4 linked regions of the Drosophila melanogaster genome follow. The protein of the gene in region 1 interacts with the protein of each later gene in a biochemical or structural test. Each region holds a gene or a part of one and is shown on either strand. Other genes may lie near its edges. The genes, in order: His3:CG31613, HP1c, trx and Su(var)3-9.

Region 1 (6,817 bases):
GTGGGTGACTTAGACCTGAATTGACTGCTCGAAAAAAAGTATAAACGTGAACGCGTTCGGGCCCACATTACGATAAGTGAATTGTGTTTGTGAAAATATAAGTAACGTGAACAATGCCTCCGAAAACTAGTGGAAAGGCAGCCAAGAAGGCTGGCAAGGCTCAGAAGAACATCACCAAGACCGACAAGAAAAAGAAGCGCAAAAGGAAGGAGAGCTATGCCATCTACATTTACAAGGTTCTCAAGCAGGTCCATCCTGACACCGGAATTTCGTCGAAGGCGATGAGCATAATGAACAGCTTTGTAAATGATATTTTCGAGCGAATTGCTGCCGAAGCGTCTCGTCTAGCTCACTACAACAAGCGCTCGACCATCACCAGTCGGGAGATCCAAACGGCTGTTCGCCTGCTTTTGCCTGGAGAGTTGGCCAAGCATGCTGTCAGTGAGGGAACCAAGGCTGTCACCAAGTACACCAGCTCTAAATAATTTTCTCCTGCGAATGCGGACAATAATCCAAAACGGCCCTTTTCAGGGCCACAATGTGTTATACCAAAGAAATGCATTTTTCAACCACCAATCATCGAATATGAATTTACAAATAAAACTTATTTACCCGCAATATGGGTAATTGGGTAATGTTCAAATAAATACAAAAAAATCGGGAACGAAAACTGAATGCGACCAACATTCAATGTAATTCATGACATGAAACGTTTTATTGTTGCTGCGAACGTCAGCTAATAAATAAGTGGAAGAAAATAAAAGTTTTTTTCTCTTGCAACGGAACGTTGTAGCCCTGAAAAGGACTTGTTTAAACAAATTTCAGATCTATAAATCATAAATCTAAAATTTCAATTGCGAACATGTACCAAATACTGCACTTTTTCACAATTTACTTTTTGGCAGCCGTAGTCTTCGCTTTCGGCTTCTTGGCGGTAGCAGAAACCGATGCTTTCTTCACCGTCTTTTTGGGTTTTGCAGACACCGCTGGCTTTGCCTTTGACGCTTTCGCTACTACAGCCTTTGGCTTCGCTGCAGTCACTTTCGCCTTTGTTGCGGCGGGCTTCGACTTTATGATTCCAGTTTTCTTGGCATCCTTGGCTTTTGCCTTCTCAGTTTTCTTATTTTCGGCAGTCTTTTTGGTAGCCACAGCCTTCTTAGCTTTGGGCTTTTTGTCAGCAGCCCCAACGGCAGTTTTTTTGGAGGAGACACCAATCTTCTTAGAGGCTACCTTCTTGCTTTGAACTTTTTTCTCAGCAGACAAAACCTTCGACTTTGCCTTCGGATCCTTTTCCTTCTTGGCAGAGGCCGACAGTTTGAAAGATCCAGATGCACCCTTTCCCTTAGTTTGAATAAGCTTTCCATTGACCACGGCCGATTTTAAGTACTTCTTGATGAATGGCGCTAACTTTTGGGCGTCGCATTTATAAGTGGCAGTGATATATTTTTTGATTGCCAGAAGTGATGAACCGCCACGTTCCTTTAAATTTTTAATGGAAGCGTCCACCATTTGCTGAGTTGGCGGATGTGACGGCGTCGCAGAGGCTTTCTTTGCCTTTGTGCCAGCAGATCCAGATGCCTTTTTTTGGACCACTTTCTTCTCAACTGTCGCTGGTGGGGCAGCCACTGGGGAAGCGGACGTTGCAACTGCAGAATCAGACATCTTTTTTTCACTGAGAACACTTTTTTTCTGTTAAAAATGGCTCGCGCGCTGCCTACCAACCTCCTTTGCTCTGATGAGAATCGAGGAGGAGAGCACTTTAACAATGCTACTGACATCAGTCATTTACTATGTCAAAGTTTGCTTGAAGTGTAAACTTTTATTAATTTTTTAGTATTTTAAATCATTAATAAAAATAAGGTTTTAATAGTTCTACACTTTTAAATAATTTTTTCGTCACTTTCCATTTTTAAAAGGATGTAATATGGGTTTTGAGACTTTCAAATGTTGATTGAATTTTTATATTCAAATTTTTAACTGGACCAATTTATAAAAAAACATCTAATAAAATAAGAATCATTGCAAATATTTCACTAATTCGTTATGTTTATTAAAATTGAAACGTTCATCCCCTAGAAGGGCTTCTGAAAGAAGCGTCTATTATTAATTAAGATACTTTATTACTTGATTTAAGTTCACATTGAACTACAGAAAAATTTGCTTTAAAGCAGCATTCAGAAATAATTTTCGATCGTTAAAAATACAGATACTTTCTTAAATAACATAATATTAATATAATAAATAATATTTTCTTAAATTATTAATGTGTTTGCTTGTTATTAATGTGTTTTCATGCATATTTTAAAATAATTTGTTCTGAAATCAATCGATTTCCTCGCCACATATGCATTACCGTCTATGTAGTCAAATAAATAAATCAAATAAAAAATAAAAAGAAACAATTTTTGTATTATCCTTTATTATGTAATATATATTACATTCCGCAACAAAATTAGCCAATTTCCGTGCTGAATTTTACATAGGTTTTATTTTTTACAGGCGTTTGAAGGGACAGTGTCAATTGTCCCGTACGACCTCTTCAATAATAACACTTTCTTCAGTTAACACATGGAAAAAATATAAAATAGCTAGTTTTATTTTATTATTTTCTGTTATTTTATAAATATTGCCGTCATCAATGTAATTTCATTAATTTCAAACTGTCTTACACAGAATTCAGATTTTTTTTTAGATGTTTAAGGTTCAGAGTCCCTTGCCCCGCACGACACTTTCACTGCTTTAAAGGATGTTCGCACAAAGAACAAATAAAAATATATATTTTTATATATATTTTATATTTATTAACCTCTTCTTTAATTTAATAAATGTTGAGCTGACAATTAAAATAAGATTATTTTTATTCCTTCTCTGGCAGAATTAGTATTTTTACATATGATTTAAGACCCAGTACCGTTTGCGCCATAAATAATAGAATATGAATTTTGTTCTTATTTTTTTTAAGTTATAAATAGTCGGCAACAGAAAATTTTATCTCATTGAATCTGGTTTGTGGTCCTGAAAAGGACCGATTATAGAGTACGCTAGCGCTTTATCTGCAAGTTAATGCCGTGTCAGCTTAAGCACGCTCGCCGCGAATGCGTCGCGCTAACTGGATGTCTTTGGGCATTATGGTGACACGCTTGGCATGAATGGCACACAAGTTGGTATCTTCGAAGAGACCAACCAGGTAGGCTTCGCTAGCTTCCTGCAGAGCCATAACCGCCGAGCTCTGGAATCGCAAGTCCGTCTTAAAGTCCTGAGCGATTTCACGCACCAGACGCTGGAAAGGCAGCTTGCGGATTAGAAGCTCGGTGCTCTTTTGGTAGCGACGAATTTCACGCAAGGCCACGGTTCCAGGGCGATAGCGGTGGGGCTTCTTCACACCTCCGGTGGCTGGAGCACTCTTGCGAGCGGCCTTAGTAGCCAGTTGTTTGCGTGGCGCCTTTCCACCAGTCGATTTGCGAGCAGTTTGCTTGGTACGAGCCATCTCCGATTTGGGTTTCACTAAAGTTCACGTTCACTACTTCACGTTTGAAAACACAATAAACGATCAGAGCATTTGCTACCTACTTATATAGCAATCGTGGACGGTGAAAGAGAGAGAGAGAGAGAGAGAGAGAAAAACGGAGGCCATTTCATTTGACGAGCGAAAAGCGAACGAACATATCGTTCGTACTCTCTCGGGTTTTTGTCGTTTTACCTATAAATAGGGGCACACAGAAACGTTGAAATTAGTTCTTTAGTGACTTTCGTGCTGTGCGTGTATAATAGTATAGAACAGTGAAAAATGACTGGTCGTGGTAAAGGAGGCAAAGGCTTGGGAAAGGGTGGCGCCAAGCGTCATCGCAAAGTGCTGCGTGATAACATCCAAGGTATCACGAAGCCTGCTATCCGCCGTTTGGCCCGTCGAGGCGGTGTGAAGCGCATATCTGGACTCATATACGAGGAAACGCGTGGCGTTCTGAAGGTTTTCTTGGAGAACGTAATTCGTGATGCCGTGACCTACACGGAACACGCCAAGAGGAAGACAGTTACAGCCATGGATGTTGTGTACGCTCTGAAGAGGCAAGGCCGCACCCTCTACGGATTTGGCGGTTAAAAAGTGTACATCCTGTGTACCCCTATTAAGCAATCGGTCCTTTTCAGGACCACCATTCAGTTTTTAAAAGGAGGAAGATTTTCAAAAAGTATTTAATTTTATTGGTCGGGACTCCCAAAAAATATGTTAAACTAAAAATAAATGTCTGTCGTTCGTACTCTTTTAAATAGAATGTGTATTTCTAACATGGATTTGTACAGACTGTACAAATGGTTTCAGACACCGCATGTACAGCATCACATCGTGGTGTGCGATTGTTTAAAGAAGCAAATTATAGTTTATACCGCATATAGTAGAAAACCCTTACTACATTACCATCTTTACGTTAATAATTCTTTATGATTTACTAATTACAACAAATTGCCAAGCTAAAAAATTTTTCAATTCTTTGGTAATAATTTGGTCGTCCTGAAAAGGACGGTTTGATTGACGATTTTATGTACATGTAGGTTTTTAGCTTAGCCTTTGAAACGTTTAGGCCTTCTTCTCGGTCTTCTTGGGCAACAGAACAGCCTGTATATTAGGCAACACGCCACCTTGTGCAATTGTGACGCCGGAGAGCAGCTTGTTTAACTCCTCGTCGTTGCGGATGGCCAGTTGCAGATGACGCGGAATAATTCTAGTCTTCTTGTTGTCACGAGCAGCATTGCCAGCCAACTCGAGAACCTCAGCGGCCAGATATTCCATTACGGCAGCTAGGTAAACTGGAGCGCCTGCACCAACACGCTCTGCGTAGTTTCCCTTCCGGAGCAAACGGTGAATACGGCCCACAGGGAATTGAAGACCGGCACGGTTTGAGCGGGACTTTGCCTTTCCCTTCACTTTGCCACCTTTTCCACGTCCAGACATTTTGCTTTGCGTTTATTTCACTTAGTTCACTTTACGCACGGAACACGAATGCTCGCCTAACCCAGACAGCGAAATATTTATACTTTTCCGTTTGCCTGCGCATTCAGTTAGGGGTGGGTGACTTAGACCTGAATTGACTGCTCGAAAAAAAGTATAAACGTGAACGCGTTCGGGCCCACATTACGATAAGTGAATTGTGTTTGTGAAAATATAAGTAACGTGAACAATGCCTCCGAAAACTAGTGGAAAGGCAGCCAAGAAGGCTGGCAAGGCTCAGAAGAACATCACCAAGACCGACAAGAAAAAGAAGCGCAAAAGGAAGGAGAGCTATGCCATCTACATTTACAAGGTTCTCAAGCAGGTCCATCCTGACACCGGAATTTCGTCGAAGGCGATGAGCATAATGAACAGCTTTGTAAATGATATTTTCGAGCGAATTGCTGCCGAAGCGTCTCGTCTAGCTCACTACAACAAGCGCTCGACCATCACCAGTCGGGAGATCCAAACGGCTGTTCGCCTGCTTTTGCCTGGAGAGTTGGCCAAGCATGCTGTCAGTGAGGGAACCAAGGCTGTCACCAAGTACACCAGCTCTAAATAATTTTCTCCTGCGAATGCGGACAATAATCCAAAACGGCCCTTTTCAAGGCCACAATGTGTTATACCAAAGAAATGCATTTTTCAACTACCAATCATCGAATATGAATTTACAAATAAAACTTATTTACCCGCAATATGGGTAATTGGGTAATGTTCAAATAAATACAAAAAAATCGGGAACGAAAACTGAATGCGACCAACATGCAATGTAATTCATGACATGAAACGTTTTATTGTTGCTGCGAACGTCAGCTAATAAATAAGTGGAAGAAAATAAAAGTTTTTTTCTCTTGCAACGGAACGTTGTAGCCCTGAAAAGGACTTGTTTAAACAAATTTCAGATCTATAAATCATAAATCTAAAATTTTAATTGCGAACATGTACCAAATACTGCACTTTTTCACAATTTACTTTTTGGCAGCCGTAGTCTTCGCTTTCGGCTTCTTGGCGGTAGCAGAAACCGATGCTTTCTTCACCGTCTTTTTGGGTTTTGCAGACACCGCTGGCTTTGCCTTTGACGCTTTCGCTACTACAGCCTTTGGCTTCGCTGCAGTCACTTTCGCCTTTGTTGCGGCGGGCTTCGACTTTATGATTCCAGTTTTCTTGGCATCCTTGGCTTTTGCCTTCTCAGTTTTCTTATTTTCGGCAGTCTTTTTGGTAGCCACAGCCTTCTTAGCTTTGGGCTTTTTGTCAGCAGCCCCAACGGCAGTTTTTTTAGAGGAGACACCAATCTTCTTAGAGGCTACCTTCTTGCTTTGAACTTTTTTCTCAGCAGACAAAACCTTCGACTTTGCCTTCGGATCCTTTTCCTTCTTGGCAGAGGCCGACAGTTTGAAAGATCCAGATGCACCCTTTCCCTTAGTTTGGATAAGCTTTCCATTGACCACGGCCGATTTTAAGTACTTCTTGATGAATGGCGCTAACTTTTGGGCGTCGCATTTATAAGTGGCAGTGATATATTTTTTGATTGCCAGAAGTGATGAACCGCCACGTTCCTTTAAATTTTTAATGGAAGCGTCCACCATTTGCTGAGTTGGCGGATGTGACGGCGTCGCAGAGGCTTTCTTTGCCTTTGTGCCAGCAGATCCAGATGCCTTTTTTTGGACCACTTTCTTCTCAACTGTCGCTGGTGGGGCAGCCACTGGGGAAGCGGACGTTGCAACTGCAGAATCAGACATCTTTTTTTCACTGAGAACACTTTTTTTCTGTTAAAAATGGCTCGCGCGCTGCCTACCAACCTCCTTTGCTCTGATGAGAATCGAGGAGGAGAGC
Region 2 (7,186 bases), on another chromosome or scaffold:
ATGACCCAGCCAAGGATATGCTTTTTAGTTGGAGCCCTAATCCTCTCCTGCACTTGCGTTTCGTGCTCCAAGGACAAATGCGCTGTCAACGAACACAACCCAAACTCAAATAGTTAACTATATAGAATATAATATAATATAACCTTTTCAAGATTTGTATCCTTCAGCCAGCTACGACTTTGTGCCGCACATCCTGCACGCCCTGGCGATCCATCGACCCTGCGTAATCGGTGATCCGAAATGCCTCTGCCATGTGGCGACCATTCAAAGGGATTTGGAACCGTATGTGGACAAGGGGATTACACCTGAGATGATGGCGCAATCCAAACGATTGGGCACTTTTTACCAGATAATCCGTGGACGCATCTATCGCCAGCAGAAGTGCCTGCATCCCAAGCGATGTGCCGATGTGGAGGATCTGCTCTTGGACATGGCCAGTGGTGTGGCAGACCTGGAATTCGTTCTCAATGTGCGCGACTGGCCGCAGGTGCACTTCCTATCCGGCCTAAGTGGTCCGGTGTTTTCCTATTCCATCACGAATCGCCACCTGGACATCATGTACCCAGCATGGTCGTTTTGGACCACCACGGGACCCATCCTGCAGCACTATCCCCACGGTGTGGGTCGCTGGGACTGGATGCGAAAACATTTGGTGGCCAGGGCGTCGGAGTTGCCGTGGAGTGCCAAGCGCGCTATTGGTTTCTTTAGGGGCTCACGATCCTCGCCAGAACGCGATAGTCTAGTCAGGCTCTCGCAAAGGCGTCCAGACCTGGTTGATGCCCAGTACACGATACTAGCGACGGATGCCGATCCCGTCGAGAAGATGCCTTTGGTCGAGCACTGCCAATTTAAGTATCTGTTCAATTTTCGCGGTGTGGCCGCCAGTTTCCGGCTGCGGCACATACTGCTCTGCCGCTCGCTGGTACTTCATGTTGGCGACCAGTGGCAGGAGTTCTTCTACAGCCAACTGAAACCCTGGGTGCATTACGTTCCCGTGGCCAGCGACGCCGATGTGGATGAGCTGGCGGAGTTGATTCTATATCTGCGCGAGCACGACGATCTGGCGGAGGAGATTGCGGAACGGGGACAGCAGTTCATTTGGCTCCACCTCCGAATGGAGGATGTGCAGTGCTATTGGAGTAAGATGCTCCAGGAATACGCAAAGTTGCTCACTTATAAAGTGCAACGGGAGCCGGGACTTCTGGAGGTATCCAACAAGAAAGCGGTGCAGCTGTACCGCGGAAAATAAACTTAGTATTTACAATCTTAGTTTTGTACCAAAAAATAAAAATCTGTATAATTAATTTTAAATTCAAATTTAAATCAGCCAGTGCTGCCACACCCAACAGCCAACTCCCCCCACTAGTGTGACCACACACAATCCTGGGTCAATTGTTACGTCACTGGCCAACAGCTGTTTGAAAGTTTTGATTTGGATTCGCTAGCATTACATGGATTCCGCATCATGGCAGCGCAGCTGAATCCATTCCGCAATGCCTTCCGGCTGCCGTCCAAGCAGCGCATCAACTGGTTTCCCGGCCACATGACCAAGGGTATGCGGCAAATTCAGCAAAAACTACGAAATGTAGACTGCATAGTCGAGATTCACGATGCACGCATCCCATTGGCGGGCAGAAACTCCCAGTTCTTTGACACAATCACCGGTGAGTACGTTTACAACCATAAGCTGCCACTTAATACGGGACTCATATTCCCCAGGAAGTGGTGTTAAACCGCATATTCTGGTGCTGAACAAAGTCGATCTGCTGGGCGCCAAACAGCAGAAGAGCGTGCTCCAGCAGCTGAGGAGACAGCAGCCCGAACTGCAGCACATCCTGTTCACCAACTGCAAGGATCAGCGCAACAACGGCGTGCTGGACATCCTGCCCCTGGCAACGCGCCTCGTGAGCGAGAGCAGTCGCTTCAATCGCACCCAAGCTGCCGAGCACAATCTGATGATCATCGGCGTGCCCAATGTGGGCAAGAGTTCCGTGATCAATGTGCTGCGAAATGTGCATCTCAAGAAGAAGAGCGCCGCACGCGTGGGTGCCGAGGCGGGTATAACTCGATCCGTCGGCGAACGCATCAAAATCCAAGAGAATCCGCCTGTTTACATGATCGACACACCCGGCATCCTCCAGCCCTCCATTAAGGATGATGAAATGGGCATGAAACTGGCCCTGGTGGGCTGCCTTCCCGATCATATTGTGGGCGAGGATCTGATAGCCGACTATCTGCTGTACTGGCTGAATAGCCACCGCAAATACGACTACGTGGAGATGCTAAAGCTCAGCTCCGGACCCAGTGACGACATCAGCGCCGTGCTGGCGGAGTACGCTCATCGGGAGGAGCTATTCCACAAGGTCAAGCAGTACGACGGACGCGTGGAGGTGATGACAAATTTATTGGCGGCCGCGCGAAAGTTCATTCACTTCTTTCGCTCCGGCCAGTTGGGTCACATGAATCTGGACGAACCCAGTGGTTTCAGATAGCTATACATATGTATGAATTAAACTTAGGGGCTTAGATTAAAGACTGAACAGTCGATTCTGCTCGCGTCCTTATTGATTTTCCGCCATGGGCACATCGATGGCAATGTCGCCAACGCCGGGCACGGGAATCGAGTACGAAACACTAGCCAAATCGTCGGTATCATTGGCTAGATCCATGGGTGCATGGTGCTGCGGCGCCTGGTCCACCTGTGGCGCGATTCCACCAAGATGTCCAGCCAACTCAGCGGACTGATCCACCTCCGGCGGCACTTCGACGGGCGCACTGCTAATGTGCGGATAACTGGTGCGCGAGGCCGCCAAACGCAGCTCCTCCGGCACGCCCTTCATTCGCATCGCAATGTGACGGGAGTAAGGTGCCATCTTCTGGAAATAGTCAATCAGCATTTGCGGATCCTTCTCCACGATCTGTGCCGATGGCACCAAGTCGAACTCGTCGCAGAACTGCCAGCGCACCAGATACTTGATGTCGCCCGTCACATCCGTTGCGCCCACGATCTCGGCCAGCTCCAAGCCGCGCTCGTAGCCGCGCAGCTTCTGGATCTCTTCGCACTTGGGTTTCTTCTCGCCGCGCTTCTTGGACTTGGCGCGCGACTCCTCGAATTTCTGGATGAGATTCGGGCAATCGCAGTTCTCCTCGGGCTCCCAGGTGTTGTCCGCCGACGTGTAGCCACGCCACTTGATGTAGTACTCAACCTTGCCTTCGCTGGTAATGCGCTTGTCCATGATGCGCTCCACCACGAAGTTGGGCTCGTTTTTAACCATTTTTTATTGTGTTTTTACAAGATTGTTTACAATATTTAAAATCGGCTTGGTTTTTTTCACTAGTGCCAGTGTGACCGTTTGCTGACTTCAACAACAGTTACAATAGCAACATACTTCTGACAGCATAGAAAACGGTCACACTCGCACGCGCTTGCAATTCGAATTCAGGTGAAATTTTAAAGCTCAGGTGCAATGGAATCCGAATCCTCGCAGGATGATTGGTCCGCATTCGATCCAATGTCCAGGGAATACTATGACCAAGTGGGCAACCGTTACACTAACGAGTCTGGCCAGAAACTAATCATGGAAGCCCCGCTGCCGCCAAAGGACGAAAAGGAGCAACGTGCCACCAGGCAGGCGAAGTATCCATACTTGGTGGTTCCAAAAAGCAGTCCCTATGTGACCGAAAAGATGCTAATCAACTTCTTCGGTCGGGCGCTCATCAAGGAGATGGAGTTCCGCCGCTTGTCACGCGTATACTTTGTCTACTTTGAAAATATCGCGTGAGTTTCTTCAAGCACTTTCGCAGGTCATTCAATATTTCGAGCGTATAATCCTTTTTCCAGATCCCTGGAGACAGCGCAACAGCGGGTGCAGCGTTACCCGAACCTGATCAAGTGCATCACTGGTCGCCCGCAAAAGGAGCGGGAAATCACCAGCGATCCGGTGACTTCCACTGAGCCAATGCCAACACCAGGCCCAGCAATTTCGGCCACTGAACGTACGCCAGTGAATCACAACAGAGAGGTTCCGATCTCGACCGGAGGACAAAATCATCCGGAGTTCTTCCGGCCACCGCTGGTCACCAAAGATGATTACAAAAGAGGTTCATTGTTGGCCACCAACGACCCCATTCAACGCTATCTCAATGTAAAGTACGAATTCGCACTGGAGCGCCATGATATCTACAAGCTTAAGGATGAGACCAGAATCCCGCAGGTCGTTCTGCACTTTCGTTCGGGCAGAACGATTCCTTTGTTAGTATAGCCACCTGGTCACGTGCCCTTGATTAGCTAACGAGTATAGTTTCTGCATCACTCAGGTCAACGGTTGCTGTCACCGAAGAGGATAAAACTAAAAGCCTGCTGGAAGACGGCGTCAGCAAGTGCGTGGTTTGTCAAAACTGGACAGACACTTTCTGCAAGCTGTGCAAAATGCCCTTCTGCAATGCCTCCTGTTTCGCCGATGTGGCAGAGCAGCATAAGCAAGCTTGCGGCAAGGGTGAGATACTTAACCTTGACGAAAAGGTGGGCCGGAAGTACCCCAAACCCGGCTTGCCGCCGTCTGGATCTAAAGTGAGAATTACTGCATTCGAGCAGACTAACGTGGTCTATGTGCGCTCGGCGGACATTCAGATTGACATCGCCTATTATACAGTTCTCACGGAGGTAATGATGCTGGGCAAAGATGCCTCCAAACTGCAGAGTACGCCAGTCTGCGGACAAATTGTGCTCTACAAGTTCGAGGGACATATGTCGCGCGCCATGGTGCTAAACGTGGATAATATCAAGGAAATCTATGTAGTGTTCATTGATTTCGGAAGTGTTGAAGTCACGCAGCTGGAAAGACTGTATGAATGCAGTTCGTATTTAGCTGGTTTGACCTGCTATCCCGTAGCCGTTAAATTACGCGGAGTTCCCAGGCGCTTTGTGGGTCCCAACATAAGGGAAGTCATGTACGAACTCGACCAGTCCCTAGTTTTTAATATCAAGTACTCGTCACGTGAGTACGATACCAGCAAGGGCATGCAGGTCGTGGTGATGACCGAGATCGATATTAATAGGAGCCTCAACCGCCTTTTCAAGACCATCCTAACTCCTGTTGAGCCGTCTGTCTCGGACTTGGGATACAAAGAGGACGTAAGCCAGAACTTAAAAAAACATCAAGTACACAGTTGTCATTTGCATTTATTCGGTTTCAGTGTCTTCCATACATTCCCTTGCACTGCGGAAAGAACATAAATGTAGTGGTAATGGACAACACATTCATCCAGTGCGGCTTTATCTACTGCACCTCCATAGATCTGGCTTACGAAGTCACCAAAATGCAGCGAGACATACAGGAGTATGGTGAAAAGATTGCCAAGTGCGCAACCTACGCACCGCCGTAAAGTTACTCGCCGTTTTCTTTTGTCCATTTAACTAAAGCGCTCTTTCATTTAGGATAAATGAGCTTTGCATAGCTAAGTACGAAGGCAAATGGCGTCGAGGTCTCTCTGTGGAGTTAGTAGGAGATGGTTATCCCAGCATTTTGTTCATTGACTACGGAAACATAGTGCCAACACATGTCACCGACATACGTCCCTATCCGCCGCAGTTTATCTTCCCTATAATGACCACACAGTTGGATTTAATTGGTAATTAGGCTCTCCAAAGATAATTATATTATTTATATGACTCGATTTTCGTAGGAGTGCCTGAGAAGCCCACCGATGAGCAGATCAAATGGCTGGATAAAAATTATCCCATTGGGTCCGTTATCACCTGCAGCGAAATCACTTTCGACGAGGAAACAAATAGCTACTCCACTCGCATTGAAAAACTGCAGGAGTTCTTAAGTTTGGACTAAGTTCTCAAAAGGTTGATTCCGCGAAATAGTTCAGAACTAATTATGGCCAAAAAAAAGCACAAATCTTCCAGGTTAACTCAACTGCTAAGCATTTAGTTCAACAAAATAATTTTGTTTACATTTATATTCTTGAAGTTAACGTTTTGTTTGTTTAAGTTTTTACTCTCACTTTTCTTGAATAAACCAGTTGAATACAATCCAGACTATCCGATATAGCAGTTTCCTGTAAGGTCACATTGATTTACGCAATTTAAGTTAGTAAAATGTAATACAAATCTCACCTCAAAGAAAACACGGTCAAAAGGTGGCTCACTTTTGGTCCAGTCCGCTAGATTCTATAGGTTATCAATGCAATAGGTGATTTATTAATATGATAAGAATTCGAAGTACTCACATTAGATGCGGTCGGTATAAGCTGGCTGCGGCAATTCTGAAGATCTTCTATAGAATCATCACCCATATGCCCATAGAACTGCAACTCCTCCGGAGAACCTCCGGCTGTGATGAGAGTATATATTTTGGTATCCATTGCTCCAACGGCCAGCAGTTGGTTGGCTTGCTGCCTGGAATTGTGATTATAAATAATTAGGTGTTTGCAGCGAAGAGCTCGAAGCGCCGACAAGTCACTGGTCAAAATCAAGCCAATCATTGGTTCTCCATCGGCAAGAGAATTAAATAAGTTCACTTTTTGGGGACCATCTAGCTGCGCATGGTCCAAACTATAACTCTGACAGTATCCCCTGACCAGGGTGAGGCAATCCTCACTGTTTGCCAAGATGCAGCACTTCTCGCCTCGCTCCGCCACTAAGTGATCCAGCATTACGTGTAGAAACTCGAACTTGGCGGAGTCGTAAAGTCCCATGCTTGGCCAAGGCGGCAGTATGGCGTCCAGTACCTCCATTATTTCCTTAAACACTGGATTCGTACCCAAAGTTTTTAGGAGCACAGGATGATCACATACAATTTGGAAGATTTCCTTCAACGTAGACGATTCCTGAAATACAAGTTTTTTGATTTGTTTATGCATGTAAATTGGTCTAAATCTATCTTACTGTTTTAGATGTTTGTGCATATTCAGAAACAAAGAGTAATATTTTTTTCTGCAGTTCAGCTGGAGTTAATAGACACAGATATTCCGATTGGGTGAACTCCTTGGTAGGGTTTTCTATCTTCAAAGTGTTTTGTTCATAGATTTTCTTTCCCATCGAAGTGCTGGAATCGGCGGCTGCATAGGAGACATGTTTATCTTCTCTATGTTGGCTAATTTCCAAATGCGGTGGAGCAAAGGCATCTGCCTCGCGCTTGATCTTCTTGAGCAGATGAGACCTAACGGGTGCACTGTC
Region 3 (8,751 bases), on another chromosome or scaffold:
CGGAATTTGTGAAGGTGGGAAGGGGGAAGGCTGTCGAGGGGGGGGGGGTTGTGGCAGAGGCTGTGGATGGAGGAGGAGGATGGGGGTGTTTAATACAAAGAGGCCAAGAGACAATCGGCCAACAAAACGAACAATCTCCCGGCAAACAACGAACAACGAGGCAAAGTAAAACTGGCCTGGCCAATTCGAAATTCGAATGCATCGTCATCATCATCATCACCGTCTCCTCGAAATCGACAGCCGAACGAACACGAAGATAAACGAAAATACTAAACCAAATTTGACGGGGGAGAAGAGGGTATGGAGCAAAATGAGAGAGAGAGAGAGAGAGAGAGCAAACGCACACACCTTTAATTTAATTGCCATCAATTATGGTAAAAAGATTAAGAAATCAAAGCAAGCGCAAAAGGTAAAATAACTTGAATAAGAAGAATGGGCCACCAAAATGAAACTGAATACGAGCACTTAACGAAATTAGATAAAATATTTTAATTGAATAATGTACATCGATTTGAAGAGTATATCAAAGTATAAGAATGCTTTTTGAGTTGCAATATGATTGATTGCTGAGATTGGCAGCAGATTATAAACCTTTTCCCAACATTATTGACCTATAAATAGATCTAGTTTAAAAACAAATCCCATATCAAATCAATCGGATGACAGCATGTCGAAATAATGCCACTTTATTTCACAATGATAAGTATGTTCGTCTGAGCTGCGAAGTGATATGAAAACTTGCTCGTAAATTGCTTAATTGATTAAAATTGACATCTAATTATACGTTTTTTGTTGTGTACCAGTAAACCCCAGTACACATAGCCCCGTCTCTGTCGCACTGCATGCCAATAACCGCCAAAGAGGGGCGAGCACAAGACTTGCAAATTGCGAGTAATTGAGAAGATTAAAGTCAAGCACACGAGAGCAGACAGAGATGGCAAATGAGTGGGAGGGAGAAGGAGACTGGTGGGAGGGGGCCCGGTCAAAGAGAGGGAGAGAGAGTCAGGTAACGAATCGACTGGCAAACGATTAAAGCCATAAACACGAGCACGACAATCACAACAACTTACATACAACACAAACAGCTACCAAATAGACAACTATCTGCATGCCACACACACACTGCTGCACAAACTCGATTGACAAGTTGGAAAAAATCGAAGTCAACCTCGCACATAAAATATGTAAATTTGTATGAAATTATTCCAAAATGTCGTTTATAAATGATCACTGAAAAAAATGATCGTAAATGGGAGGTAAATTAAATGAATTTTAAGCCCCACAGTCACTCCATAACTTTTCCTACTCCACTTATTAAATATTCTTTGAATTAATACATAATTATTTGATCAATAATTGGCAACATTAACCGCAAAATTTTTCTCAGTACAACAATGAGAGAGCCCAGAGAAAGCAGCTGTAGAGGTGGAATCAACAAATGAGCGTGAGCCCCATTCCCCAAAAACAAAAAGAGCGGCAGAGAGCACACGCGGGGGAGTGTATGTTTGTATGCTTGTGCACACACACATACACCGTATTTGCTTGTAAATCAAAACACGCAGCCAAAGGTGAAACATGAAAAATGTGCGCGCCAATAAATGTGCGAAAGGTGTCGTGGTGTGGGTGCCGCATGGATTGGTGTTGGGATGGATGGATAGAGATGGTCGGATGGATATCTGTATCTCTGTGGGCCATGAGCATTGGGCATTGAATATTGAGAGCCGACTTGGCAGCTCGCAATTTTGATGTCCAATTTGCCACGAAACATGAACTAAATACTTGTACGCGAATGTTTGTTTGCGTGTGTGGGCATCTGGTTTCGTGGTGTTTATGCTGTGTGTTGGTGGTGGTGGTAAAAGGTAACGAAACACAAGGTAAAATAAATTCAACTCAGCTGGCAGCTGCAGCCTCTCAAAACGCACTGTAAATAAAGGTGTAAATACAGCTAGCTGGTAGCAACAATGCAAACTAATAATTCGGCCACCGAAGCAAATAGAAATCACACCTACAGTGATCGCTCGCTAAGCGAAGCATTGTAGTGCTCATGTTTTAGAAAATAGATTATCTTGGAGAAGAAGAACAAATAAACAAATGACTTTTTTCGATTTTACAATAGGAATTATGTAAACAAGGATATTTTAATTTAAACCCGTTGAAAATGTCCCATCAAATGATCTTAAAATTTGTATTTGTGAGTAGACCCATCCGAATTCAAATGTGCAATGATTCTGTGAGGCGTGATCGACGAGATGCGGACGCAGTGGAGCGTGAAAATGCATTCGGATGAGCATCGGTTGGCCCGCATCGCATATTCATTCCCATTCAAGATCTCGCATTAGCTTACGGCTCAGTTGGTCGACTTTTGAAAGGCGAATTTTAATATGCGCAATTACTCATTTGGCGATTTTGCGCCTCAATGTTGTTTGGCGCGTAGTTTCCCACACACAAACACACAGGCATCGACACTAGCCGATTTGGAATTTGCCTTTTTGATGGCAAATAAAAAAATGGCGTCAACAAATACTCAAACAGCCAATGTACAAGTACATATATTTATTTTGTAATTATTCAACAGCTTCTAGGCAGCGAACGGCAGCGGCAATCGATTTAGCTCCTGCTGCTGCTGAGATCGTTTTTCATTTTATTGTATAATTTATTAAAAGTTTCAACAGCGCCAGCAACAAAACAAACAGCAATTTTAGTTATACAAACACTTTGGCCATGTGAGCCCAATAGAGAGAGAGAGAGAGAGAGAAAGAGACGGTGAGAGCGAGAGAGTGATTTGATTTAGAATGAGGCGACAACAAAAGCAATTAACTGGTCACACATTAAGTTTTATTTATCGGCGATGCTTTATTATAGCTCGCCGCTGTGTGTGTGGGTGTGTTAGCGACTGTCATTTACCGTTCGTTTTACGGGTGGTAAATAATGGAAAACGTCGTAGATGGAAACTTGCAGTAAAATCCCCCTGGCTAACAGAAAACGAATAATATTGTTTCTTATAAGAATGAAATATTTGATGGATTAACTTCAGGAGTCATATGATTATATGATAATAGATGTACTTATTTTAAGCAAAAAATATTTCGCCTCCTCTTTAAACTGTTAGTATTAGATTAAAATAAAAATATTAACTAATGAATTCGTTGTTAAGAAAGTTGTTATTAAATCAACAGGTTTTCCAGAAACAAGACTTGCTTACTAGTACTACAAAATAGAACAAAACTAAATCAAAAATGCTACCATCTGCTGCTAGTCGCACTCAACGAGGTCCCACTGTAGACATAAATCGCAGCGTGGGCCATAAACTAACAGTATTTGTTGTGCAGCCTAATTTGCATTATCGAGTGAATAATTGAACGACACTTTCCTATTCTTTCTAGCTAAAAACAACAATCTAAACTACTGACTAGAGGTCTACAAAGGTTAGTGGGGACTTTATGAATATGAAATCGACGGGATGGGATATGATAATGTGATGTGGTGTGCAATGGTGTACAGTATCTCCGGGTGCATTCCAAATCAATATCTGGCATGCTTATATATGTGCGCAAATATCCATTGATATATATTCACGGCAGACTGACTCATCGGCAGCCGGCGACGCCTTTTATCGCGGCGATCTTATAATTACCTTGCTGTCGAGCGTGTATCCAGATGCAGATTGAGATTCGATACCGTTTCAGGGGTTGTTGTTACCATTTGGCATCCTTGGTGCACGAATATAATACGAAAACGAAAATAATCCACACTTGGGACAATTTCACAACAAAACGGGACAGAAACACACGCACTCAAAACACTAGTAAACACAAAATACAGGGGTGGAGATTGCGATTTTCGTTTTTATTTTCGTTCACTTATTTCTTGGTTTTTGCTTTGGCTCTCACATTCGCCGCTCTCTCACTCTGTCGCTCTGCGCTCACAAAACAAACGCACAGGTACACGCACACACGAACCGAAATGGCCCGCTCTCTTGCTATTTCGTTCTCTCTCTCGCGCCCGCGCGTTTCGTATATACATATGTTGCTACGTATGCGCGTGTGTGTGTGTGCGGGTGTCTGTATGTATGGGTTTTACGACGATGAAAAATGCCTGCTTCTTCTTCACAGAAATCAGGTTTTCTGCTCTCGATTTTCACACTTTTTTAACAATTGAACGCCACAAATTCGATGTAATTTCATTGGCAGACACTGCATACCATATTCACACACACTATTTAGCACAGTTTATCAATTATTTTCCACATTTTCTGCGTTTTTTCGACGAGCGAAATGGAAATAGCAAAGCAAAACGACCGGACAGTGTGACCGCGCCGATAACTATAAAAAATACTGTGAGACTTACAAATAAATTCATGTGTGTGCAGACCTGGTCACACCGATATTTTAGTAGGGTGTCTCTGCTCTGCGGGGTGTGTGTCTTGGTTAAATACGGAATGTGTCTCTGCTAGTTCAAAGACAAAAGCGTATTGCTACAAAACAGTATTTTTCAAAATTTAAAACCACTTTCGGTGTAACTGCTAATTTGTTTAATTTGTGGTAATTAAAATGTTTAGAATGGAGTGTACAAAACACATTAACCTTGAATTTTTGAATATCCAATATTATCACACTTTCCGTTCAATATAATTTTTAAGTACCCTTCGGTATCTTATTGGGAAAGAAGGAAAGAAAAGAAACCGCTTCGGTAAACAATTTAAAAAACAGGAGATTTTCCTAGTCCACATTCTAAGTGGCAAATATCAATCACCTCATTGGCAATTCCATTATGCCAGTATATGAAGTTCGGATTAGTTGCGATTTCATAATGAAGCCATAATGTGCGGACACACATAAACAACTTGTCAGCTGCGTCCACTTCGCATTTGGTTCTTTGCCAAAGTTATTAACCAATTTTTTGGGAAGACACCCAAAGGCTTTATGCATTCGCAAGGCGCGATGTAAACAAATAGATTTTGGTCAACGAATCGAACGTGTCCGCTCAATTAGCACATATTTGATTCACAATGTAAATCCAACTGTTGCCGGGCGAGAAGCGTAGGGCGGTAATTCGGTGGCTTAAATCGACGTCATTTCGACGACGTTTCACCGAAGTGAACAAAAAATTCGCAGGAAATTGAATCACTGAGCGCCTGTAAATTTCTTGTTCAGTGACAAAAAATGGTAACCCACATTCAGAAGATGTTATCTCACAAAAAGGCATTGCAATTAACCTTATTAGTATAGAAAGTTCACCAAGAAGGACGTGTTAATAGTTGTGGCCTGAATTTAGTAATTACTTATGTAAATAAAAATAATAAATAACTAAATATTATCAAAATAATATAATAAAATAAAAAAAGTAATAATAATGAAACTATAATCATAACAACCATTATTGCTAGTAAATGAAATAATTCAAATGAATGCTAATAATAGGTACTAAATCAATTTCCCTGGCATTCCTTCTATTAAACACGAAAACATAAACAAATTGATCAACTCCTTGTAACTTGGACTATCAGCTATTGGCAACACGGGCAGATCGAGCTTTGTTTTTGGCAGCTGACGCATTCCGCACCTCATGGTTAGTCGGTCCGTTTAGGTGCGCAGTGATAAGGGGTATCGATAACAATATATGTATATCTAACATGGATTACCTTGTACTGTGACAGTCATTCGGCGCTTATCTGGGCCGCAAACAACACGAATTCGTTGGCCTAATCATAATGAAAGTCTTGTTTTGACAGCAGCAGCAGAAGCAGCGGGCGTATAGCCACTATCACCGGATTTCCAAAAATAGTTCTTCAACTTTTACCGCAATCTGCAATGCAAACGATGACGTCCGCGTTGGTTGGAAAATTTCCAGCTCATCGCTGAAAAAGGGATTCCTCCACAGATCGTGGGCTTATCATGCATGCTAATTAATCCTATGACGAACTCGGGAAAAAAAAAACAATAAAACCTAATAGAAAACGCGAGGAGCTTGATAATCATTGTACTTGTGCACCTGTCGCCGTCATCCAGTTATCATTTAATAATCAAGATGAGTGCCAGAAAAACAGAGAGAGCTGCTTAAATGATTATCACAAGTTTGCGGGTACATACTTACATACATACGATTATTTGCGTACAGTGTGTGCCATCTATATAATATTTTAGTTTAGATTATTAAATGCAAGCTATTGTCATGAAATCTAATAAACTTAATTTAATCAATTTAATCTAATAAAATCAACATCCAGTTAAAACATGGTTTTTGTAAGGGACACCACTGCGTATGAGTGATCTGAAGTGGGAAAGTAAATTAAGTAAAGTAAAACTCGGATGGTTCATCACACCATGCAACCACTGTGCCTGTAATATTCTCTTTCCCTGCTGGCTAGTCCAACGTGTTTGCTATCACCATTATCACTCGAATTAGGCACAATCATCTAACGAATTCGTATGGCCCCTATGGTGAGTACTTGGAAAAGTAATTCCAGGTTGGAGAAGTGAGCAGTGGAAGCAGTGGAGGCAGTAAACCAACATCCACGAATCGAATGAGTATTTGTGTGCACTTCCAGTGCGCGATAATGCCATTCTTCAATTCCAGCCGAAGAAACCGAAAGCCGAGAGCCCAGCTGAACGCCCAAAGAGAGTCTTCTGGAAGAGAGTCTACCTCGCCGGCGGCGGAGAATCGTCGCTCGTCGCTTGTTCGCCAGTCATTTCAGCAGTCACTTGTTTTTGAGTGCTGCTTGGAGTTGGTCGCTCGCCTGCTGCGCTCTTAGTTGTTTTGGCTAAGTTCACTTAGTTAGTGCCTTCGTTTAGCGGCGAAAAAGCTGGAAAAAAACGTATAAAATATATCGCGTTGTCGTCGCCGTCGTCGTCGTTGCCGCTTTTGTATCTGTGTTTGTGAGTGCCGAAAAGATGAATATATAGAAATACACACAAATAAACAAAAATATTATAAAAAGAAGAGTTGCTATTAAGTGAAATATATGCACAACAATTACTTAAGTTAGAGAACGGTTACTGTCGTTGCCATGGGACAAACGTAAAGCCTCGATTGTGTGTATTTACACACTCGGTGATCTGCGCTGCTCCTCTCACTCATTTGTATTGTTTCAAAACAAAAAAACAAGGCGATGGAAAACTAGAGAAACCATAAACAAAAGCTGCTCGTTGTTGTCCCACAGAAGCAGCAACAATCAAATTAATAACTTAAGTAACAGCATCAACACGAACGACGGCAGTTGGAATTATAACAAGAAAAATCCTACAAGTTAATGGATATTTTTTTCCTCTAGATAAAAAGTAACACAAAAAGTCAACTGGCAAAATATCACGAATGGCGGTACATACAAATTTCAATTTGTCGCAGCCGGAAAACAAATTCACATACAGTTCAAACTCCATAACTCGGAATTCCCAAAGACCTTCACTCTATGTCACTTTTTTGAGCTTTATTATGTTCATAAGAAGTCGGTACAAGTCATTTTAAGATATATTTTAATAAAATTTGAAACGAATATTATGAATTAGGGCCAATTAAAAGGGTAGTGTTTATTCTTAACGGAACTTGAAAAAAGACTTTTAATAGCATATTTGTTTGCACCAACTTTTTCTATAATTTTGCTGAAATTTAACTTCCTTTTCTACCGCATTATTGATTATTATATAATGTGACAATATATAAACATGTAGTAACAAGTTCGACTTACTGTGGCTCGACTGTACCCACTCGCTCACACACGTCACCGGCACACTCCCACTCACGCACACACCCACAAAGTGACGCCCACGAGGTCTGGAGATTTGCACAAGTGCAGAGGCACACACAGACAAACAGATAGAAGAAAAGACAGAAGAAACGAAAGAGGAGTGAGCACAAGAGATTTGTTGTTGCCAGCCTTGACTAGAAAAGTAAAGCCCCAAACTAAAGTAAAGTCTGTTAAATAATTACTCGGAAGTTGCACAACCTCGTTTGATGGCAGCCACCGAAAAAAAAAACCAAGAAACATGTACCAAGAAATCTCGACAAAAAAAAAAATACCCACAGCGTTTAATTGTTTCATAATTGCGGAGTGAATTCAGCTGATAACGGGACAGACAAAAACGAAAATGAACCAAAGTTAATTGCTATCAGTGAGTGCAGTGACCGTACTTAGTATATTTTATGTTCTTCGATGCAGGCGATCCAGTGTGAAAAGCAGAAAAACAGACAAGCCCACGGAAATGGATTACATTGTGAAGGCCTACAAGGATTGGAAACTGCATTCGCAGGTGAGAAATCTAGTTAATTATACTATTAGTTAGAAAGGTAAGCACTCAAGGCTACCTACCTGTATGTAGGTGTCAATCCCAATTACGAGTTCATAATTATGAAACAGGAAACTGGTAATCGACTTACAATTAGGGCGTATACAAATCACAGATGGAATTACAATCGTCAGGTGGCAAAGTGACTTACAAATTAAACCGAACAAAAGAGACAACAAATATCATGACACTTTATAGTAAGCTTTGCTAATTTGTGGTATTTATTTAAAAAGAAAACACTATTTAACGGTCGAAGGAAAAGTGCGAAAATGTGGGTTTTGCAAGGCAGCTAAAGTGGTTTTGTAAAAGTTAATATTGTCTCATATTTTTTTAATGTAACTCCCAACAATCGAGTCTTAACGGCTTTTGCCCCTTCAAAACGCTTTTGCCTGTGGCAATCGGCAAACGGCTGAGATGACGACAATATTGTGGCTTTTTTGCAGAAGTGAAGCCAACTTCTGCGCTTTTT
Region 4 (9,647 bases), on another chromosome or scaffold:
GTCCCAAAATAACAAGTCAGTTCTTGCGGTTTTAATTGTAAAAAATGCAATACAATTTGTTTTTTTTTTTCGTTTAGTTTTTGTTTTGTATTTAAATCATAAAAACAATTTTACGATGTATCAGATTTGCCTTTAGTTATTATAATATATAAAGGTATACCCTATTAGTTGCTTTTTTAATGCCTGATTCTGCTATAGATGCACAATACTCGCAAGCGAATCGTGTGTTTTCATATTATATACATACTCGACAACAAAATTCAATAAAATAAATTAAGTTAGGTATGTATTTCATGTTGGTACTAATTAGTTTCGGTTTGATCAACGGACACGGGAAGAATGGAGCTGTGGGACAAGAAGGAGCAGTGTGAAGAGGCCTAATAAAGATGATGCTGCCACTTTTGCCGCTGATGTTGTTCTTAAAAGTAGAACCATTCGGATCCTAACTAAATTCTACTTCTTTGCCACCTGGCTGTCCAGAACGGGTGTGATTGTCTTGCCTCCGAAGATCTGACCCCAGCCAATCAAACTGAGGAGAAAAAATACATCATTAAGTTGTGATTTCAAATACAATTTAAGGGGGGCTGTATACTCACCGCCAATGGTTCTCCACACGTCTGCTGAGTGCAATCTTCTCGCCCTTCTCCGTGCACACAGGCGTCGTAAGAACGATCTTGGCCAAATCACCTTTGGTGGCCGAGATGCGGCCACCAGTGCTGAGGGATCCGATATTAACCAACAGGATTTCGTTCTTCTGCAGCTTCTCAACGCGCGCTCCCTTCTTGTCACCATCGGTACGGACGCCGAGAAGGCGACGCAGCAGGTAATACGAGATTTCCAGCTCCTGGTAGATGTCCGGCAGCTGGCCAACGGCGCCTAGCACCTGACCGACCAAACGATCGGCACGGCACAGCGTAGGATCGATCTTGGTGCCCACACCAATCAGACCGCCGGGCACGGCGTACTGCAGCTCATTCTGTTCGGCGAAGAGCGAGACGATACGGGAGAAGATTGGACGGCAGGTGATGTTGCCATCGCTATCCTTGGTCACAACGCCCGGACGCACCTCGATCTCTTGGCCTACCTTCAGCACGCCGCTCAGAATGGAGCCACCGGCCACACCGCCCTTAAGGTCTGCCACCTCACAGCCTGGCTTGTTCACGTCGAAGGATCGGATGACGATCAGACGGGGCGGGGCATTGAAGTCACGCGGCGGCACTGGTATCTTGTTCACAATGTACTCGCAGAGCACATCGATGTTGTACTTAAGCTGGGCCGAGATCGGAATGATCGGAGCGCCCTCAGCTACGGTGCCCTGGACGAATTTGGTGATCTCCTCGTACTGCTCTTTCGCCTGGCTCTCCTTGATCAGATCGATCTTGTTTTGCAAGATCAGAATCTGTTTCAGCTTCATAATCTCAATGGCGGCCAAATGCTCAGAGGTTTGCGGTTGTGGACAGGATTCATTGCCTGCACATGGAATAGGTAGTAATTTGTATATCTTTTGTCGGTTCAGAGAGATCCAGGGTTACTCACCAGCAATGAGCAGCAGAGCAGCGTCCATCACAGCAGCACCGTTCAACATGGTAGCCATAAGAATGTCGTGACCGGGGCAATCCACGAAGCTCACATGTCGCACCAGTCTGAAGTTGCCGGAGCAGTTGAGCCGAGTGCAGGGCAAGCTGTCGTCCTTGCTGGATGCATCCGATACGAAGCTGGCCGGGCGCGGGCACTTGGGGTTGTCACACTTGTAGATTTTGGCGTTGGCATAACCTAAAAGCAATGCGATAATAATTATGAAGAATATTACAATACATTCTTCGAACTCCTGGCCTGGCAAACACGTAAAATAATCCTTCGTTCTTCACAAGGAATTAAGTGCTATTGCTAACTAAATTCATTTCTTTGATCCTTCCAGATCATTTATACAGCCACAAACAAACATCACTTAATAATCGTAAAATATTTATTGTAAAATAATAATTTGCACTTAATGCGGTAATAATTTCAGCACATTACAAGGTTGTTTGTCAAAACACTAAGTTATTACTAAATTAAAATTTAAGTTTATGAAATGTATACAAGTACAAACTATATAGAATTACTCGTTTTATCCTCTAGTAATATAGATCCTCAAACATAATATAGATCCAATATATCGATATTAGCATTTATTAACAAATAAATAATTAAAACGTCGGAATATAAAATCCAACTAGTAATATATATATATGTTAACAAAAAAAAAAAAGGTTCAATGCAATGATGTCTCAGGTGGGTAACGGCGTGCCATTTAAATATAGTACTTCAAGTCCATTCAAAAGAGGACCTTTCTGCAATTATCAGCTCCGCAGCGGCACTCGACACGCACAGCTGTCGAGAGGTTCTCGTAGGGCACATCTTCGTTGTCCGCGCGAATGTAGTCGAAGCTCAACTCCTCGCCCGCCTTGATTGGACGCAGTGTGAAGAACACGAGGTGCGGCAGCGCGACATTCAGGTGCTCGATCCAACAGGGGAACACGGCGAGATTAGGATCGCAAGAGTGATTGATAAAGTGCGAGATGTTGCCATAGTTAGCTGCATCGATAGTGTACTCGCTATCCTGAGCTGTGTTGTAATCCAAGTCGAACAGATATGTCCTCCCATTGTCGTCATACGCCTTGCCGCGCTCATTTGCCTCATCGCTGGTGATGATCTCTCCAATGTACTCGCACACAAATTCACCCTTACGCAAGGCAGTTGCGGCTCGCACCCCCCATCCGCTGCCGTTGGCGGTCTTAAACAGCACCAACGGTACCTGGCGTCCGTGCTGCACCAGACGGTTGGAGCAGCTTGAATCGCACGAGCAGCGGCTATTGCACTCATAGATGGCACTTCCGGGACGAAGGCGCAAGCGCCGTGTGCTTCGCTCGTAGGCGAACAGCTCGCCGGCGAAGCGGGCACAACACTTCGTAGAGGCAGTACACTCCTCTGTGTCTTCAGTGCACTTACAGCCCACAATCCCCGCTTCCGGCTTGGGCACATCCTTGCCGATTATGTTATCATGTATGTACATGAAATTGCTGTCTATGGTGTCCAGATCAATGTTGTTCTCAACACGTATTGGCGGTGACGGTTTCTCCACATGATTCATGCGCTTCTCGAACAATGCTAGATCAGCCAACTGCTTGCGTCGTACAAATTGGGCCCGCTTGATTTGCATGCTTTTCAGGGCTCGTTCTCCAATTTTCTGCGGTTCCCTTTGGCTTCGACTGCCAGCAGCGCGATATTGGGCGAGCAGTATAAGATCGATCTGCAGATTGAGTGGCTCATAGGCGTCTACTTCGGCCACCGTAATGTTCTCCATTAGTGGCAATGCCTCCAGCTGCTTCTCAAGCTCAGTGGTTATCTTGGCTATGTATATCTCGTAGAGCTGCTGATGCCGCTCCACAAACTTCTCCATTTCGGCGCAGTCGGCCACGTTGGCAAGACTTTCCCAGGTGTTCTCGCTATCATGGTATCCCAGCCATTTGACGAAGAAGACTGGCTGATATTGATCCATCTCGACGCATTCAATACGCTCCACAACGTACTCTCCTTTGGGCGGCCTTTTGGCAATTACTCCCATGTTATTTTTCGACCGCTTGGAGTTGGGAGTTGGGGCGCCCACACAACTGCTGCGTCGACGCTTCAGTTTGGCGAATCCGTTGAGACTGGGTATTTTGTCCACATCATGTTCCTCGCAGCCAAAAACGCTGCCATAGCCGCTACTATTGCTTGGACTCAGTGAGGTCTGACTGGTGCTTCGCCGGGTGGTGCGTCTATCTACACTGGAGGTGGATGCTGGCATGGAAGACGAAGCTGGCTTGGTGCAGAGGCGGCGGAATCGGCTATGTCGCCGCAATTCGGCCAGGTGGCGCAGCATTGAACGCTGTTTGATTTCATACTGCTGTCGCTGCTGCTTGGAGGTCAAAAGATTTTTGATTTTTTTTTCGCTCAAGCGTTCTGCAAATGACAAGTTTTGGACAATTGTGGATTGGATGATGGGTTTGGTGTGTTTTTTTTTTTATTTGGCGGACGCGTCGCAACCGAAAAAATCGTAAAAACAAGAGAAATAGGGAAAAAGAAGAAAAAGATTGGCAATTAATTAAATTGCTGGATCAGTCGTATCAATCAATGTAACAGATTCAAGACTAAGCTAACAGGAAGATATGCTTAATACCAATCTTTGGGAACGCTTTTTAATTCAGCTTTGTAAAGTACAACATTCTAAAGACAACTTCTTTTATCATTTTAGACTACTTAGGCGACGACACAAGGCAACGCGTGCTAATCCAGCAATTTAAGTTAACAAAATACACAAGAATTCGAATTACAAGAGACAATCATTCGCAGAACCCTTTTACAACATTATCTCGATGTAAAGCAGCGACAGAGTTGGCTACGCGGTGTGCCGTCGCGATACGGTGTTAAAAAGTGGTTCTTAAGATAATTATGGGTTATTTTCGGCCAGCCGAGAAGGTTTACAATCTTAGGGCACTACGGGGTTTACGGGCGAGCAGGAAGAATTAACATACGGCTAAATTATTATCAAGTAGAATAATACATCTTAAGATTATATGCTTAGGCTAGCTTACACGGATCCCTGACTCACCCAGCTTGATTGTGATGTTGCGCTCCAGTTCGTTCTTGAAGCGCACAGTCTGCACGCCGGATATGGCTTTGACCACCGTGGATTTGCCGTGAGCCACATGACCGATGGTGCCGATGTTGATGGTCGCCTGTCGGGAGATGACCTCCGGTGATAGAGGCGTTAGTTTAGAGACGTCCTGCAAGATTCCAAATGCAATACGATAAATAAAGGCGCTTTAATAGAGGAAAATCAGAGCACAAGTCTTGTTTACCGCCGCCACACCCCCTAACAAAACATCCCCTCTCAGATGCATGTGTGTATATAGGAAAGCCGTCAATTTTGAGGTTAGAATGTCGCTTGAATTGCATCAACTCAAAATTGATGACAACAGTCAGGTAGTCCTCGCGAAACTGATCTGCTTGCCAGAGCCCAAATACCGCCAGAGTCCGCATCATGCCCATATGCAGAGCCAAAGTTGCGGGATAAACCAAACAGACCCTAAATGTAGCGCCACGTGCTGCATTTTCACCGTGATCTCTCACCCACAACAAATCACTGCTGGCCCTGGCGAAACCCACTGGTATATCCCTCGAAATTGGTCCGCGAACCGTTCGAGACAATCTGGGCGCGTCCTTGCGACCCGCACCCCGCTGTTTTTCCGGGAAGCGGCTCCATAATGACGACGCGTATACTTTCACACACGGGCGGAAAAAAAGGGAAGGCGGCGTCTGGCGGTCGTCTTTGCTGGCTGCTTACCAAGTTGCTGAGGTCCTGCTTCTGCAAGTTCCTGTTCACACCGATCTGGGCTTCAGCCGTGGCCATGTTGCTGATGTTTTCAAAAACGATGCGTATGCAAAATGAAAATAATAATTTTCAGCTATTACAGCTCGGCATCAAATCTCGATATCGAAGAACGATTGGACCCGACAATGCCTATCGATAGTGCTCTAATCATGGTTGGCCAGTGTTGGACACGTCACACCGGTGCCCAACTGCGATGCGTATCGATAGAGTGCCGCCCTATCGATACACTTACAGTTCTTCAGCCGCAAACGAAAGGTTAAAAATCCGCTTCGCTTCTCTTCTGCTCAACTGTACCGCCGCTTTTTGTTCAAATATCTCGGGAATTACGAGCGTACACACAACGGAAGAGCGTGCAGAATGTCGAGCGTGCCAAAGCGAGCCAAGCTGGACGGCGCCCCCGCCGATGGCAACACATCCGCCGCCGCCGGTAACAACGAGGAGGAGTCGGAGGCGTTGGAGCAAATTGATGCCTGCCAGAACGAGATCGATGCGCTGAACGAGAAGGCCAGCGAGGAGATCCTCAAGGTGGAGCAGAAGTACAACAAGCTGCGGAAGCCCTGCTACGAGAAGCGCAGCGAGCTGGTCAAGCGCATCCCCAACTTTTGGGTGACCTCGGTGAGTACTTCGATCCGCGGCCATGTTTGTCCCCTCCGCGTGTTCGTCTGATGGGTTCTAGTGGAGCCGACTAGATCTTTCGAAGCCCTGAAGTGATGGTAATCGCTGCACACATGTACAAGAAATTTTCTCTATTCGAGGCATTTTTTCTTGTTCATCTTTGGGCTGCAATGCCGACACCACCGGCTCCCCGCGCATTTTCCCCCTCCCGGAAAAATCGTGCTATCGATATATCCGTCTGGCCGGGAAATACACAACATAGCACAGTTCAAAATGGCTTCAAATCAAAAACCACTGAAATATTTGCTGCCATAATTGAAAAGAAAAGTAGTGCCATAGGGGCCATAAACATGGCTTTCTGCTTGATAGCATGCATCCCCTAGCTAATCCCAACTGCCATATTTGCAGTTTATCAACCACCCGCAAGTATCCGGCATTCTGGACGAGGAGGAGGAGGAGTGCCTGCACGCGCTCAACAAACTTGAGGTTGAGGAGTTTGAGGACATCAAATCGGGTTACCGCATCAACTTCCATTTCGACGAGAATCCTTACTTCGAAAACAAGGTGCTCACCAAAGAGTTCCACCTGAATTCAGCGGGTAAGTTCTCCCAACGATTGATTCAAATCCGCTTAGCTAACCCATTACTATTTCAATTAAAGCTGCTTCCGAGAACGGAGACTGGCCCGCGTCTACCAGCACGCCCATCAAATGGAAGGAGGGAAAGAACCTGCTAAAACTTTTGCTGACAAAGCCGTACGGAAACAAGAAGAAGCGCAACTCCGAATACAAAACCTTCTTCGATTGGTTCTCGGATAACACCGATCCCGTCAACGACGAGATCGCAGAACTGATAAAAGACGACCTTTGGCCAAATCCACTGCAGTATTATCTGGTACCTGATATCGAGGTGGAGCCCGAGGACGAGGAGGACAACGAAGATAATGATGAGGAGGCATTTGACGACGAGGACGGTGAGGATGGAGAAGGCGAGGAAGAGGAAGAGGATGAGGGTAAGCTAATGGAGTGCCTTTTGAACAGAAGGAATTTACTAACCACCTAACCAACCATTTTAGATGACAAGTAAACTGATTAATGCAATTTCAAATCGCTCGCAACCGAAGGCCCACATTGTTTATAACCACTGGCAACTATAGTTTTCCCGATGGTTATGCAACATTTACATATTCGCAACGATTTAAGGACATATTTAGGTTTCGAAATAAGCAAAAGTCATACATCCATTAAAGAGCAGCAGAAAATGAGAATCACCATTAAATTAATTTAAAACAAATAAAAAGACGTAAATCGAATCTCAAGCCGTGTCTTTTTATGTAAGTAAAGAATTACCAAAGTATTCAATTCGATGTTTATAAAATAATTTATTACTTTATTAATTAATATTTATTAATTAATTAATTATTTAATAGCAAATTAGAGGTGTTACTATTAAGGTAGATTTTGGGTACCCAGAAATACCTATCTTTTAATATATCCTTTAAGAATTACTTTAAAGTCAGAATATCATTTTTAAAATGAAAATTCGCTTTTATTTAACTAGCTAGTATAAATCTTAAAATCTAGCTATTTTTTGTAATCGATAACTGTCCTGCAACCCTTACGCCATTCAAAACAACCCTGCCACACGTCGAGTAGCAAGTAACGTAGCCCTGGTCACAGCTGAGATTTTTAGCTGAAAAATTGTCGGGATAAAAACGATGGCCTCTATTAACAAATTGGCACTTTTGGTATGTTATAATGCGAATAAATAGAAAAAAGTGAACAAGCTCCGGTCAATGCCAAGCCATTTTAAGTGCATGTCAAATTTTTATTGCGTTTGCAACCCGCTGTCGCATATGTAGAATTATCTAACGCGCGTTTCTTGGTTATGTAATTTTTGCCCATCTTAACCCACGAACCGCGGGTAGTTTATGTTTAATAAGCCGAAAAACTTACCAAGTGCTCTTGTTTGCTTATCCCGCAGAGCCGCACCCTCAGCTCCGCTGCCGCCCAGGCGACGGTGAAGCCACCAGTGCAGGTGTTCGGTCTGGAGGGTCGCTATGCTACCGCCCTGTATTCGGCTGCCTCCAAGTTGAGCCAGTTGGATCAGGTGGAGAAGGATCTGACGGCCCTGCAGGCCACCATCCGTAGCGACAAGAAGCTGCGCGAGTACGTGACCAGCCCCATCATCAACAAGAAGGTCATGGCCACCGCTCTGAAGGAGGCATCCGAGAAGCTCCGCTTCGCCCCGGCCACCGTCAATCTGTTGGGTCTGCTGGCTGACAACGGACGTCTAAAGAAGCTGGACACCGTGATCAATGCCTACAAGACCATCATGGCCGCACATCGCGGTGAGGTCGTCTGCGAGGTGGTCACCGCCAAGCCCTTGGATGCGTCCCAGAGCAAGCAGCTGGAGGGTGCCCTTAAGGTAGCTACGCCTAGCTTCTGTCTTGTCTCACCCACTCAATTTATTGCTCATTTGCTTTGCAGTCTTTCCTGAAGGGCAACGAGTCTCTGAAGATCACTTCCCGCGTGGACCCCAGCATCATTGGTGGCCTGATCGTTTCCATTGGCGACAAGTACGTCGACATGAGCATTGCCACTAAGGTCAAGCTCTACACCGATGTCATCCAGACCGCTGCCTAGACTCTTAAGGATTTGCTCTTGATTTAGATGGTCAAACTGAAAGTTTGGTATTGGAATTCAAGCGGTAATAGCGAATAAAACACTCTTCACCCTTTGAAAACCAACAAAATTTATTCAGAGATATGCGCACTAGATTTGGTTTATGATTTAGATATATTTTTAGGATCCGGTATATCTGTGCACTGCAGCTCCGCAACCTTGTGCTGGATTGTCTGCTGCAGAAGGCTGTGCTGCTCCAGCAGATTCTCCAGCTCCTTGATGCGAGATCTCTGCAGTTCCAGAACCTTGGTGAAGTTACTCGTGGCCGGGGACTCAAGCCAGTTGATTAGAAAACTATTATGTTGCTCTTTATTATCGTTGGCGTTTTGTTGAGCATCAAAATTACTCTTCGTCTTGCTATCTAGTGTACTCGCATCCTGCCCTGGGTTGGGGCTGCAATCATTCAAAGGACTCTCCTCCAGGACCAGAACATTGGTCTCGTTCGAGGATCGACAAACTCTGTAATTGGGCTTGTCGATTTCCGGGAACACAGCTCGCTCATCATTTTCGGTCAGATCGGACTCTTGAACGCAAATCTCTGGAGGCGGCGCCATGGGACGTTGCTTCGCCGGAGAGCAGCACCCATCTTCATAGTCATTATTCCGGGTGCCGTTCATAAGCAGCACGTTGATTGCATTTGAAGTTCTTCTCTCGCCGCCGCCACAAGTAAAGTTATTCGAATTATTGGTGTATCCGCCAGATAAACCTGTCGCTGAGCTTCCAGTTTGATGGCTGAACGAGCCGGTCATCTTGGTTCGCCTAACAGGCGAAGAGCTCTGAGTCTGCAGCGTCACCGTTGAGCACTGCACTTCCTGATCCTTCAATTGCTGGGTGATGCACGTCTGGCAGCATTCGCTCTTCAGCTCCGGCTTTTTCTTCGTATTCTGCTGGTTCATCGAACTTTTAATTTTGTTGTTACCTCGTGAAGTTGGC

The links.
Region 2: the proteins of His3:CG31613 (region 1) and HP1c form a complex in vitro, tested with the Drosophila melanogaster proteins (2 studies listed by BioGRID, with this or other methods).
Region 3: of the proteins of His3:CG31613 (region 1) and trx, one has a biochemical effect on the other in vitro, tested with the Drosophila melanogaster proteins (4 studies listed by BioGRID).
Region 4: of the proteins of His3:CG31613 (region 1) and Su(var)3-9, one has a biochemical effect on the other in vitro, tested with the Drosophila melanogaster proteins (3 studies listed by BioGRID).

Annotation. Positions count from the first base shown.
Region 1 is NT_033779.5:21,421,920-21,428,736, reverse strand, and holds His3:CG31613 (histone H3), read right to left. Parts: upstream 3,545-6,817; 5' UTR 3,488-3,544; coding exon 3,077-3,487; 3' UTR 3,016-3,076; downstream 1-3,015. Other genes in the region: His2B:CG33908 (histone H2B), read left to right, coding at 114-485; His1:CG33804 (histone H1), read right to left, coding at 892-1,662; His4:CG31611 (histone H4), read left to right, coding at 3,788-4,099; His2A:CG31618 (histone H2A), read right to left, coding at 4,574-4,948; His2B:CG17949 (histone H2B), read left to right, coding at 5,175-5,546; His1:CG31617 (histone H1), read right to left, coding at 5,953-6,723.
Region 2 is NT_033777.3:22,741,806-22,748,991, reverse strand, and holds HP1c (heterochromatin protein 1c), read right to left. Parts: upstream 3,373-7,186; 5' UTR 3,276-3,372; coding exon 2,562-3,275; 3' UTR 2,493-2,561; downstream 1-2,492. Other genes in the region: CG31139 (uncharacterized protein), read left to right, coding at 1-112, 168-1,249; CG17141 (uncharacterized protein), read left to right, coding at 1,466-1,664, 1,720-2,492; vret (vreteno), read left to right, coding at 3,468-3,778, 3,842-4,252, 4,318-5,134, 5,197-5,381, 5,438-5,631, 5,686-5,843; CG6985 (uncharacterized protein), read right to left, coding at 5,995-6,066, 6,125-6,178, 6,238-6,837, 6,896-7,186.
Region 3 is NT_033777.3:14,282,575-14,291,325, forward strand, and holds the start of trx (trithorax), read right to left. Parts: upstream 4,330-8,751; 5' UTR 3,635-4,329; intron 1-3,634. Other genes in the region: red malpighian tubules, read left to right, coding at 8,199-8,246. UniProt on the Drosophila melanogaster protein: Histone methyltransferase that methylates 'Lys-4' of histone H3 (H3K4me). H3K4me represents a specific tag for epigenetic transcriptional activation.
Region 4 is NT_033777.3:15,257,914-15,267,560, forward strand, and holds Su(var)3-9 (suppressor of variegation 3-9), read right to left. Parts: upstream 5,546-9,647; 5' UTR 5,435-5,545; coding exon 5,369-5,434; intron 5,025-5,368; exon of another isoform or gene 4,926-5,024; coding exon of another isoform or gene 4,884-4,925; intron 4,809-4,883; coding exon 4,634-4,808; intron 3,985-4,633; coding exon 2,318-3,984; 3' UTR 1,951-2,317; downstream 1-1,950. Other genes in the region: eIF2gamma (eukaryotic translation initiation factor 2 subunit gamma), read right to left, coding at 454-529, 597-1,470, 1,537-1,773, 4,634-4,808, 5,369-5,434; Set, read left to right, coding at 5,774-6,031, 6,440-6,629, 6,692-7,042, 7,106-7,116; ATPsynO (ATP synthase, oligomycin sensitivity conferring protein), read left to right, coding at 7,748-7,777, 8,014-8,457, 8,520-8,675; CG14864 (uncharacterized protein), read right to left, coding at 8,816-9,647. UniProt on the Drosophila melanogaster protein: Histone methyltransferase that specifically trimethylates 'Lys-9' of histone H3 using monomethylated H3 'Lys-9' as substrate.